Linked DNA regions of Mus musculus. The protein of the gene in region 3 purifies or fractionates together with the protein of the main gene of each other region. This does not show direct contact. Links are inferred from orthologs where the notes say so. Each region holds a gene or a part of one and is shown on either strand. Other genes may lie near its edges. The genes, in order: Ssx2ip, Cep135 and Wrap73.

Evidence for each region.
Region 1: the proteins of Wrap73 (region 3) and Ssx2ip purify together in Homo sapiens (co-immunoprecipitation; 4 studies listed by BioGRID and IntAct, counting the BioPlex papers as one, with this or other methods). This does not show direct contact. The link is inferred for Mus musculus from reciprocal best matches to the Homo sapiens genes WRAP73 and SSX2IP.
Region 2: the proteins of Wrap73 (region 3) and Cep135 purify together in Homo sapiens (co-immunoprecipitation; 6 studies listed by BioGRID and IntAct, counting the BioPlex papers as one, with this or other methods). This does not show direct contact. The link is inferred for Mus musculus from reciprocal best matches to the Homo sapiens genes WRAP73 and CEP135.

The regions. Positions count from the first base shown.
Region 1 is NC_000069.6:146,403,189-146,407,457, reverse strand, and holds the start of Ssx2ip (afadin- and alpha-actinin-binding protein), read right to left. Parts: upstream 2,817-4,269; 5' UTR 2,523-2,816; intron 1-2,522. UniProt on the Homo sapiens protein: Belongs to an adhesion system, which plays a role in the organization of homotypic, interneuronal and heterotypic cell-cell adherens junctions (AJs).
Region 2 is NC_000071.6:76,637,112-76,640,755, reverse strand, and holds part of Cep135 (centrosomal protein of 135 kDa), read right to left. Parts: intron 2,693-3,644; coding exon 2,490-2,692; exon of another isoform or gene 2,247-2,489; intron 1,835-2,246; coding exon 1,730-1,834; intron 996-1,729; coding exon of another isoform or gene 947-995; exon of another isoform or gene 460-946; intron 1-459. UniProt on the Homo sapiens protein: Centrosomal microtubule-binding protein involved in centriole biogenesis. Acts as a scaffolding protein during early centriole biogenesis.
Region 3 is NC_000070.6:154,141,024-154,145,248, reverse strand, and holds the start of Wrap73 (WD repeat-containing protein WRAP73), read right to left. Parts: upstream 2,878-4,225; 5' UTR 2,805-2,877; coding exon 2,736-2,804; intron 7-2,735; coding exon 1-6.

The DNA.
Region 1 (4,269 bases), on a different chromosome or scaffold from region 3:
CCTGTCAGCTTCAATTACGTGCCTGGTGAAAAGCTTTCAGGTATTATCTAGACCATCAAGGTCCAGAGGCCATGGACTATGCAAATTATTACCTAGGCAGACATACTACATCAGAAGCAATATAATCCCCAACAAACCCTTTAGATATTCCTTATTGCCCTCTGGTCAAGGTTCACAGCGCTGTTCTTAACGCTTGTCGCTAATGCAGCTCCGGCTGCACATGGACGACACCAACCACCTGTAACCTGCACCTGCTCTGCTGTGCCCAACGCACAGTTGCTTGGCGAGCGCCTGTCAGGACACAACTGAAAGGCCTTCTTTCCTAAAGCCCGCCCACATTTGCATTTCTCCCCTTCTCCACACAAAACCTCCTAAAGTACAAAATGTTCAGAGCAACACATCTTTTTGTCCTTGGGCCTGGCAAGTAGCAGCTGAGTGTCTGACAATAAATGCTTACTGAAAGAATAGATTTATTAACAAACAACAAATCTGTTCCTACACAAAATATTGGACCAGCATCACATGGTATCAATCTAGGTTTTTCCATTACTAATAATGGATGGTGTGTTTCTCTACTGTCTCATTCTATAGGCTCATGGCTTTAAGGTAAGATGTACGCTCACAACCACCTAACCATAATTGCCCAAGACACACAACAGACTCACACAGCCTCGTTATGAACTAATGGCTAAGCCAACAAGGTGAGTCCACAGCTACTGTAAAAGATACAGGAAGCTAACACTAAAAATCACTTTTGAAACTGAGCCTAGAAACCTATAAGCCCAGCTTCTGGGAGGCTGAAGCAGGAGAACTGCAAGTTCAAGGACTGCTTGGGCAAGCTAGTAACAAGGCAGCCTTGCCTCAGAATCAAGGCGCACCGGGTTTCACTGCTCAGCAACAGAACCCTAGCCTTGCATGTGCATGGCCCGGCTTGGTCTGGTTCCCCAAGGAACGTGTGAGGTCGTTCAGAATGAAAGGTGTTTGTTTTTTATGAAGATCTGTATGTTGTTCTACTTTGTCTGGGACTCCTAAACTCACGCGTATCCCCTACCTTAGCCTCCCAGGGAGCTGGGATAAAGACAGGAGCAGTGTGTGTGTGTGGGAGGGGGGGGGGCTTACTGCTCCAATGTAAACATGATTCAAGTCCCTGTGGAAAAGTGTTTTCTAGGCGCTCTCTCCCCCCCCTCTCTCTAGCTGAATGCTAAGTGAGGGCACTTTCACAAAATCTGTATCCTAACCGGTTTGGGCCGACAAGCTGGTTTGTCCAGTTTTCCCATTTTAAGAGAGCCCAAGTACATAATTTGACTGGGCTGGGTTGGAGGCCTTCTGGGCTAACATGAACAGTTAACTTTTCCATGGTGCGTACACCTGCCTGAGCAAGCCTAGGATGCTGTGGACTTAACAAGTCTTGTCACAAGGCTCAAGTGTGTCATGGATCGAGTTTCACATTTCATCCTGGAGTGGCCCGGCCCCAGCAGTTATCTCCAAGCTGCTGTGGCCCTGTTACTTAATCCCTGGACCTATTATCTTCCCTGTACAGATGGAGAACAAGAAGGAAAGGAAGGGTGTAAAATGACAGGCTGTAGGGGCCCCAACAGTTACCAAAGAAAACGCCCCGGTTTGAATTCTATCCATTCCTAATCCTCTCAGAGAGCCACTTTGTACGAGGAACTTCTGTGCACACCGGGCAGGACAAAGTGTCGACTGGGAGCACAGCTTTTCTTGTTTAGTTTGAATGAACACTCTAAGCTTCGTGGGCCCACAGGCTCTTGGGGAGTAAGGAGATTGGATGGCTTAAGTTTTGCTAGCTGGATCGACGGTTTTGAATTTTATCCAGCCTCGTAAATGTGTCACGTCATATACAGACCTTTCCGTTCAAGATCAAATTTGGGACTAGAAAGGTTTTCCTCCGGAACCTTGCGGGCTCCATGGTAGCACTATTTTCAGCTAACTCCAGGCCTGGACTCTAAACTGAATTGAAGCAAATATCAAATCCAGAAGGCTCTCATCCTTGGGCTCCACCTTTCATCCAGCCTGGATTCTAGAAGAAACTCCCGGCTCTCACAACTGCATCGGCGTGGCTGGTTATGAATCTGACACGCAGGACTAAGGAGCCTGAACTGTGGGTATTAATGTAAAGATTCCTCTACTGGTGCTGATGGGGAATTATTGGGCAAGTTTTATTTCCTGGGCCCAGGTGACTTGCATAACCCAGCAATCTGCACCAGGAGAAATATGTGCTGACCCGGACAGAGCTCACCATTTACGCACTCTACACCACTGGAAAATCCGGGGCCAAATAATTTCTCAAACAAGCCTGCCCCTGCGATGATGTAAGTTCTTCCCCTAAACGTGGGGCTGGACCACTATGAGCCACCTACCCCTGCAGCAGCGGCAGACCTCACTCGCTAAGTCCTGCGGCAGCCTCGGAGGACTCGCCAAGCCCGCGCGGTCGGGCCAAAGGGACCCCGCGCGCGCCCGCGCCGCATCCCGAAAGGGCGCGGGGCCCCCCCAGCACCTACCTCGCACTTTCCGCTGCAGGCGGCGGGCAGCAACGCTCTCCAACCGCTGCAACGGCCGCGACGAGCCCGCCCAGAGTCGGCCCCGGTGCCTGCGTCCACGTCCAGCCCGGTGCCCTCCTCCCCGCCTGCGCGTCACAATCCCGCCGCTCACCGTCACGGCTCCGGGAGCGGCTCACGCCTCCCGCAGCCCGCGGGCCCGCACCCGCGGCGGCACGCAGCGGCTCCGCGCAGCCTCCAGCCCGCCCGGTCCGCCCGGCCCGCCTCTCGCCGCTTTCCTCGGCGGGCGCCCATCCCACCCCGCCCCGCGCTGGCGCCGCCCATTGGCTCCGCCGGTTGCCAGGCGACGAACAACCGCGGCCCGCATTGGTCCAGCGAGGACTAGCCTCCGACAACCCCCAGCAGACGCCAAGCCGCTCTCCCCCGCGCAGCTGCGGCTACCGCACCTGTTACACCCGGGGTCACCCGGCCGCTGCTCCCCGCCCCCAGCTCTCCACGGGGACAAGAGGAGGGTCCTAGCCGCTTTAGAGCCGGGCCTCTGAGGCCACCCCTGAACCCCAATGCTCTCTGGAGAACCAGGTGCGCTCCCCAGAACGGAGAGACACCGGGGCATTCCAGAATTAGGTCAGGCCCTGGAGAAGGAAGGTAGTGGCCTCTGGAATCAATGCGCCAATGCACAGAAATCCGTGTAAAACCAGGGCCAGGGTAGTGCGCGTGAAACCCCGAGTTCATTCCTCAGGACTGCACAGAACGCATGTGAGGGTCTGTGATCCGGCAGAATTGAAGTACAAGGTCATTGGCAGCTTGAGGCTAGCCTGGGCGTTATGAGAGAAGCTCAAGTAGTGAATAAAACAAACTAAGGCAAAGGAAGGGACCTAGGGAGGAGACAGCTGGAAAGGGAAACTAAGAAAAGGTACTTGTGAACTAGACCTTGATGAAAAACTCCCTAGGCCCTCTCCATGAGTGCCAAGAAAATGTAGGACAGTGGCAATTGGCCAAATCCACTTGCCTCTCCCTACTATTTTCACCTAAAGTTCCCCTGGGAAAGGAAAATGGAGAAACCTTAGTAAAGGGTAGGGTGGTGGGGTTCTAGCAAGCTGTTTACTCAAGAGGAAAAAAAAAAAGAGGTTTGGGGTTAAGTGGCTCCTGTGAGAACAAAACATCGTAAAAGGAACACAAGAAATACACCACTGCCACAGAAGAACAAGACAGAGAGGAACAAGGACTACACATGCCCACAGTGCTAGGTAGAAGATCAGAGTGCAGAAATGAACAATGGATTTGAAGGAGATTGGATGCTAAATACAGGTAGCAAGGATACATCATTACAAAGGCGCTTTGGAGCACAGTGCCAGTGAGAAATTACTGCCAATGACTGTCTTACTCTCGAAGTTAGACCATTAGTGGGGTGAGGTTGCTCCCTCTGCATCCGAGGGGGTGTTCTGAAAGTTCCCTTGTCCACTCTCCAAAACACTCCTTTTCCTCTCTCAAGAAACATCTTAACGTGGCATTTATTCTTTAAATGCTGAGTCCGGCTTGGCCGTGCAAGGGACAGCATGGTATGGTCCCACCCCTGGAACAGAGAGAGCAGGGCACGGGCCTCCATGAATGTTCAATGGCTGCTGTGGGCATAAGGCTTGTTTGTATAATAATGTACATATTCTATGTTCCTCCATCAGGGAATGCTCCCCGTTAAGGTTAATGATAATCAGAGACAGCGCAAGTCTGGGAGGCAAAAGTATGTCCTTAG
Region 2 (3,644 bases), on a different chromosome or scaffold from region 3:
TGGCTTCATCTTTGAAATGGGGCCTTACTGTGTTACCCAGGCTACCCTGGATTTAGGGGCTCAAGGGATTCTCTTGCCTTGGTCTTCCCAAGCAGCTGGAACTACAAGGGGGTAGGATGCCTGGCCTAGCCTTATATACTTTAGCCAAATCTGCAGGATTAAAAAAAAAAGGTTGATTCACTATATTTCCTGTGTATGAGTGCTTTGCCTGCAGGCAGATGTCTGCACAACACATGTGCCTGGTGACTGTAAAAGGCAGAGGAGAGTTAGTTATGGACGGCCGTGAACCACTGTGGAGGTACCAGGTCCTGGGGAAATGCAGCCAGTGCTCTTAACCAATGGGCCATCTCTCCAGCCCTAATTTGTAGTTGTTTTCATGAATATGTAAAATATTTCAATTAAAAGAATATATATTAGAAGAAATTATTCAAAGCAATTATGCTATAGCTATATCAGAACATTAGGGCATTAACAAATAACATTTAAAAACATAACAATCACAATGATATTTTAATGATAGTTTTAAAAAGTTAGGATACCAAGTATACATTCAGAAATATACAAATCCCCATTAAGCCAGCAGGGTGGCATGTGCCTGTAATGCCATGGCTGGCGTGTGCCTGTAATGCCAGTACTTGGGGGGTGGGGGGCAAGGCCTGAGGAGAGAGAGCTTGTCTCAAAAAATCAAACCAAAGCAAACAAAAACCAAAACCAATACACAACTAGATGTTAAACTCAAAATATGAATAGTGATGCTGGGGGCACTCACTTTCTTCTTTAAGCTTTAACCGCGTATATAACGTGCGGCTTCCTGGCCGTTTCTACATCTTGTTCGGTGTTTGGTGCAGTTGAGCACGTCTGCTTCCTGCCTTGTCCTTTCCTGGTTCCGCTTCTACCTCCACAGCCATCTCCTATTCGTCACTGGACCCTCAGCTTCTGCCCAGCCTCACATCTGTGCTGTTCTCTGGGCTTGCTCTATCAGGTCCTTCCTGATTCTAGGCAAAGAGAAGTTCAACTTCTAGTCTCCTCTACCCCAGCAGTCACACACTTCTTCTAGAGACAGGCTTTTGCTATGAAGGGCAGGCTGTTCTCAAGCTCACCAGCTTTCTGTCTCACCCTACTGAGTTTGAAGACTACAGGGGAGCACCATCATGACTGCACACACTGTGTGTGTGTGTGTGTGTGTGTGTGTGTGTGTGTGTGAACTCAAAGACAGTTTTTTACACACCCACGTCTGAAGCAATCCTCAGTCACTTATACCTCACTAATGTCGCTGTCACTGTTGTCCAGGTCCTGAGAACAGTGCTCCCACACTGCACACTTCCCTCCTCTGCCCTTCTCTCTCACCTTTCTCTGCATATGCACTTAGCCTTCTCTGTGCCTCTAATCTCCCAAACTTCAAAGACAAAGGAGCCCACTCTCTCCATCACACTCCCAGTGTCACACTGTGCCTCCCAGTGCCAGGAGTGTCAGTGCTGGTTGTCCCCTCAGAGGCCCCCAGGCTGCCCTTTCCTTCAGTTACTCAGTATTCAGCTTCTCTTCGCAGTACAGATGCTCCAACCTTTTTTTTCAATGTTATGGAGTCCCTTGCTCTAGCAGGAAGTGCCTAAGAAATGTAGCTTACAGATTAATACTAAAGCAGTTTGCTGTTTGCAAGCCGTATGAAGTACTCTTTGAGTAGCATAGAAGATATGCAGAAATGCTGTGTATTGCTACAGAACTGTCTTACCGTTCGTACTTCTCGTTTGACATCTGCCTCTTCAGATTATCATAATCTGTCTGCAACTGTGTCACTTTAGTTCGAAGCATGGAGGTTTCTCGGCTTTGGGTAGTCCTTAAAAACAAATGTATAGATCTTAGAAATAGAAAAACGAATGACCTCTTTTGTAGAATCAAGTGCAGATACAAATGGGTTGATTCCTAAGAACAGACAAGGATCACAGCTTTTCAACAGGGGCTCTCTCCAAACCAGAGCTTCTGCACAGTCATGAGCTAGCAACACAGGATGCAACACAGGTTCCTTGGTTCTTCCTTGCCTCTTGCCTCAACTTCCCTAGCCCTGTACAAAGCCCATTTTTCTGCATGCTCGCAAGTCCAGGCTCTTCTCTTCTGGGATGATGTCATCACCAGTCCCCTTGATGGTGATGAACAACGCACTTGAGAACCAAATCTCCCCCGCTCCAAGCCTTTCCTGTCTACAGCCACCTCATCTGGACACGCCTCCCCTCAGCAAAGCCTTTACTCACTCCTCAGACTCAGGTCCTCCCCTGAAGCTCACTCTTCCCGGCTCGATCCCACGCCCTGCCTTGGGGATGAAGATGTGTACGTCTACGGCTTCAAACCCCATGTCTCCTGAGTGACTCCTCTGGATGTCCAGACGCAGCAGTTAGGAGAGTCAGGGACCGTGGGTTTCCAATGCCCTCGCTACCTGGAAAGTTGAAACTACTTTGTCAAAGACACTTCCCCACACACTGCTCAGCGACACTCACAGTTTGCTTTCTGAGAGATTTAGCTTCTCCTTCAGCAGCTGGATTTCTGTGTCCTTCTCGTGGGAGGTTAAATGGGACTGGAACTCTTTATCTCTGTTTGTAGCTAACAACGACTCAAGGTTTTTAATTGTCTGTCTCTCATTCGTCAGCTGTTTTTTTAATAGTTCTGATTCTGATTTTACATTCTCTAATTCTGCTACCGCCTACAGAAAAAACAAAGATTAATTCAGCAAAAGTTTAGGCTTAGTCTGAAAAATTCTTTATCTTACAATATAACAGCGATTGTTGAAGACTTTAAAACATTTTTTTTTAGTTGTAAGAAAATCATTGTGATTTAAAGTCCCCTTGGCTTTAAGGCGTACTCTGCCTCTCCGATGATGACCAGCCATCTCCCTCATCATGAGAGGGTAAGGATATGATAAGCCTCCCGCCCCATCAGCCATGAGTCCATGCTCTCTGCAGCATGCCAGTTCTCTGGCCACAGTCAAGCAAGTGCTATAACTTCTCAATGCACGACTTGACAAGAGAAACCAAAGCCATGCTCACACGAGAGCACACACCAGGCCAGTCAAAGTCTCAGCTTGGGGATGGGCAAGTTCAGTAAAGAAGGCTTAATTAATAATGTAAATGCCGTGAGATTTCATTATTAAAAAATTCAAGTTAGAAAACTGTTTAATCTTTAAACCAAAATTTAATTTTAAATAAAAAAAGAATGTAGTTGGGCAGTGGTGGCGCATGCCTTTGATCCCAGCACTCGGGAGGCAGAGGCAGGAGGATTTCTGAGTTCGAGGCCAGCCTGGTCTACAAAGTGAGTTCCAGGACAGCTAGGGACACACAGAGAAACCCTGTCTTGAAAAACAAAAACAAAAACAAAAACAAAAAGACTGTATATTCCTGATCTACACCTAGAAAATGCCTAACTTCTTAAGTACCATCTATTCCGAACCCAATTTTATCTGCTTTTTCTTTTCTTGCAGTGCTGAGACCAAATCCAGTGTGTCTCACAGGAAGGCAAGGACTCCCGGCTCAGCTACCCCCATCTCATTCTCATGCTCCCTAGAGTTTGACCTCAGCAGCCAGGCGGTCAAACCCAGTCATCAAAAACTTGCAGTCAAAGGGAACAAACGGAACACTCAAAAAGAGAACGTGAAGTCA
Region 3 (4,225 bases):
GGAAGCCTAAAAAGTGAGGCAGACAGCACGGGATAGCATCTCTTCTACAGCAGGGAGCCTTGCCTCAATGGCCAGCTCCTCCCCTCCTGTTCGACACACTTAGCTTCATGTGGACCAAAACTTATGGGTCTCATTGCAAAATGAGTTAGAAAAAGATAAAAGGTGGAGCATTCAAAAGTTTAAAAGTTCCACACAGTATATATTAACCAAATTATCATACTCTAACCCACAAATTTGTACAAGTAAATTTTTTTAAAGATTTATTTATTATTATATAGTAAGTACACTGTAGCTGTCTTCAGATGCACCAGAAGAGGGCATCAGATCTCATTACGGGTGGTTGTGAGCCACCAAGTGGTTGCGGGGATTTGAACTCAGGACCTTTGGGTGAGCAGTCAGTGCTCTTACCCGCTGAGCCATCTGTACAAGTAAATTTAAAGATGGGGGTGGTGCACTCCTTTAATCCCAGCACTCAGAAGTCAGAGGTGGGCAGATCCCTGAGTTTGAGGCCAGCCTCCCTCTACTGAGTGAGTTCCAGGACAGCTGGGGCTACACAGAGAAACTGTCTCAAAAAGCCTGTGTGTGTGTGTGTGTGTGTGTGTGTGTGTGTATTTTTTTACTACTTGGGAGTGATGGTGCACACTTGTAATCACTGTACTAGGGAGGTGCTCAACTACTTTCTGAGTCTGAGGCCAGCTTTGCATATTATGCCATTGTCTAAAAGCCAAAAACTTGCACTTGCCTCAGAAACAGGTTTGGATGCACAGAAGCCACATAAAACTGTGTTAATCCTAAAAACTGTTTAAAATCCTAGTTTCTATGAGGAGGCAGAGGGGAGGCAGAGGGGAGGCTGAGGCAGGTACATGTGGGCCAGCTAGCCTGCTTTATGCAGTGAAGAGCAAGAGACCTTGTCTCAAACAAGGTGGAAGGTAAGGAATAACACTGGGGGTTGTCCTCTGCCCTCTACACGTGTGTTGTAGCATCTCTCTGTTTCTATCTCTGTCTCTCTGTCTCTGTCTCTGTCTCTCTCTCTCTCTCACTCACACACACACACACACACACACAGACTCTTTTTTTTTTAATGAAGCCACATTTGTCTTCTGTGGAAAGAGAGCAAGAGGGCAAGTGCAGATCAGAAGGAGGACCTATCAAAGGGCTTGTGTTCTCACATTAGAGTTTGGTGAGCAGTAACCTGTTACAATGGATTCCTTAGGAATCACTTAAGACACCAACACTGGAAACATGGACTCGCTCTGCTCAGGATTTAGGACAAAACTTGAAAGAAACAATTATTAAGAGCTCCACGATATTTTGATGAGCGGCAAGCACAAATATCAGCTAACCCAAATGCAACTTCTTTGCTGTTCACTGAGACTTTCAGAACCGTAAAGCAACCTTAGTCTCTGGAGGCACTTGGAAAAAGGTAAAATGTATCAATGTGTGCGAGGCTGATGGTCTCCTCCCACCTTTACGTGGGTTCCCGAGCCGGAGCTCAAGTCCTCGGGCTTGCATGGCAGTACCTTTCCCTGCTAAGCAGGTCCTACCCTGACACTTCCTACATTGTTAGGATGATGTGTATAAGGAGGGTAAAGGATGTCTCAAAAGCCTGGACAAACACAGCAGGGGTGTGAACTGAGAATCAAGACAGCCAGGCATGGTGGCATGCTCCGTTAATCCCAGCACTCAGGAGACAAGGGGCAGATCTTTGAGTTCAAGGCCAACCTGGTCAGAGCTACAGAGAAACCCTGTCAATCAGTCAATCAATCAATCAATGGTATCAGTCAGTTAAAAAGAGAATGATAGATTAATCAAAGAAAACTTGTTAAAAATTAGGATTGCATTTGTATGTGAGAAGGGTCAGGCACTAGTTACGGCTTATGTGGAGGCCAGAGGACAACATGCAGGAGACAGTTCTCTCCTTCCATTAAGTGGGTCCTAGAGCTGGGACTCAGGTCATCAGGTTTGGTGGCAGGTACCGTTACTAGCCAAGCTACCCGACTGGCACGGAACCACAGTTTTTTAAAATAAGACTTGAGTTTTCCCTGATGGCTTCCTAACGTCAGCCTTCTACAAATGCACAATGGTCATGTTGGCGTACCTTGAAACACCCATCTGAACACTATTCTGCCACCCAAAGAATAGACAGCTAACATCCAACCCTGGCAATGAAAGCTAGTTATTTAAACCATTTGCTTATGACGAGTTTCACAAAGGAGGGCCCCGTTTAACCAGCTCGCTCACAGAAAACATACAAAATAGCAATGAGCTGCCATCCCCTGTGCCCTCAAATGTGTGAAAGCAGAGTCATCTTATCCAACTTTGATGAAGGGAAACTGGAGCCGGGAGCCTGGCACCCACCCAGCCCTGGCCACCTGCTCCAAGACCTCCTTCCTAACCCTGACCACCTGCCAGAATAGCAACCCCAACTCCATCCCCACTCTGCTCCACGTCCTCTTTCTCCACCCTGGTCACCTGCCAGGATCCCCCAGCCTGGCTGGCCTGGATCCCTCTTCGGCTTCAGGTTCGTTCTCTCTAATCATCTGGTTCTCCCTCATCTGGGCTGAAACCCCTCTGCCTGCCTCCCTCTCCCACCTCCCACCCCGCCCCCTAAGTCCAGCCTGAGTCCCCGCGGCCGCCCGGCTCGGGCCCCCTTCCCGCCCCCCTTCGGCCCGCCCCGGCCCCGTGCACAAGTCGCGCGCCCACACTTAGGTTCCGCCCAGCGCGCCGCAGCTCACCAGGTACTTGCCGTCCGGGGAGAACCTGCAGAGCAGGCCCGAGAGCTTGAATGACTCCGAGAAGTTCATGGCCACGGCCAGCCCGGGCCAGCCCGGCTCCGAAGTACCTCCCGCAACCGCCCCAGGCAGCGGCCGGAAGTACAGGGGCGGAAGCGAGCAGCAGCCAATGGGAGCCTCAAGCGGCCGCGCGGCATTGTGGGGCGGGAAGTCCGAGTTTGAGTCTTAAAGGGGCTGAGCGCCTTTGCGCTATAGCGGATCTCCCTGCAAATCCCGAAACGGAAGGCTGAATTCTGACTTCAGATAAATCACAAAATAAATATGTTCCCAAAAGTTACCCGGGGCATACTTAGACTAAAAGACTCCCTTATCTGAAATTCAGGTTGTAACTAGACCTCTGTACTTGTGAACATACATTTATTTACATGTAAATGCGTATTTATGTGTAAGTATATAGTCGTATTTCGATACACCTCTTTAGTAGATAACAAATTTTTTGTTACAGGAGCTGAGAGTGCGGTTCTATTGGCAAAATGATTGCTTAGCATATATGAAACCCAGGTTTTGGTCCGCAGCATCGCATAAACCCCGCACGATGGTTTGCATTAAAAAAAAAAAAAAAATCCTACACCTGAAACCAGAGACGCAGATGTTCAGGGCATCCTTCGCTACCTATAGAGTTGGAGGCTATGCAGGGCTGCGTGAGACCCTTTCTCAAACAGAACAAAGCAAAGTATTTTCCACGTATAAGTATAAATATAGGTTTGCTTTGAGGTTTTCCTGAGAGCGACCACCTGCAGCGTGACCTCGTGACGTTCAAGTGCTTCTCAGGTCTGTGGCGGAACGAATTCGAAGGCATGTGGATCTCGTGGGTCGCCTCACCTTTTTGGAGGTTCTAGTTAGAGTGTGGACTTGATTCAGAGGTGTGGCTCGGTACCCGGGACGGCAGCCTCGGTGGGCACGTAGAATACAGCACCAACTGGACTTCAGACCAGGATCGCTCCCCAAAGCGCTCTGCTCCCTCCCTCGCGCAGCACCCCGCGTCCTGTGCCCCACAAGGCTCCCCATTCCGGTGTCATTCGGGAGGTTGGATGTTCCTGTCTGCACCCAAAGCTTCAGAGGATCACTTAAGGCTCAGCCACTGCCTTTGGAGCTAAGTTCCGAATTCTGAAAGACCGGAATCTAGTATTGCTCGGTCCAGCTCATAGCTCCCAGTCTCTTCCGCACCGCTGCATCTAATTTCCACGAATGAATGAATGAATGAATGAATGAATGAATGAATGGCGGTGCTTGCACCATTCGGAGAGGATCTGCAGAGTGCGCGGCCAGCGTCCTGGCATTTTCTGTTCCCAACCAGTCCCAAACTCTTGCTTGGTATTCATCTTTGTCTCTAATCTGCAGCTCGCAAATAATTACTCCTCGTAGCTATTGGCCTAACACCAGGTCAGGCTTTCGAGTTCGAGAGAGATTCGGTCTGCTCCAACCCACCTCCC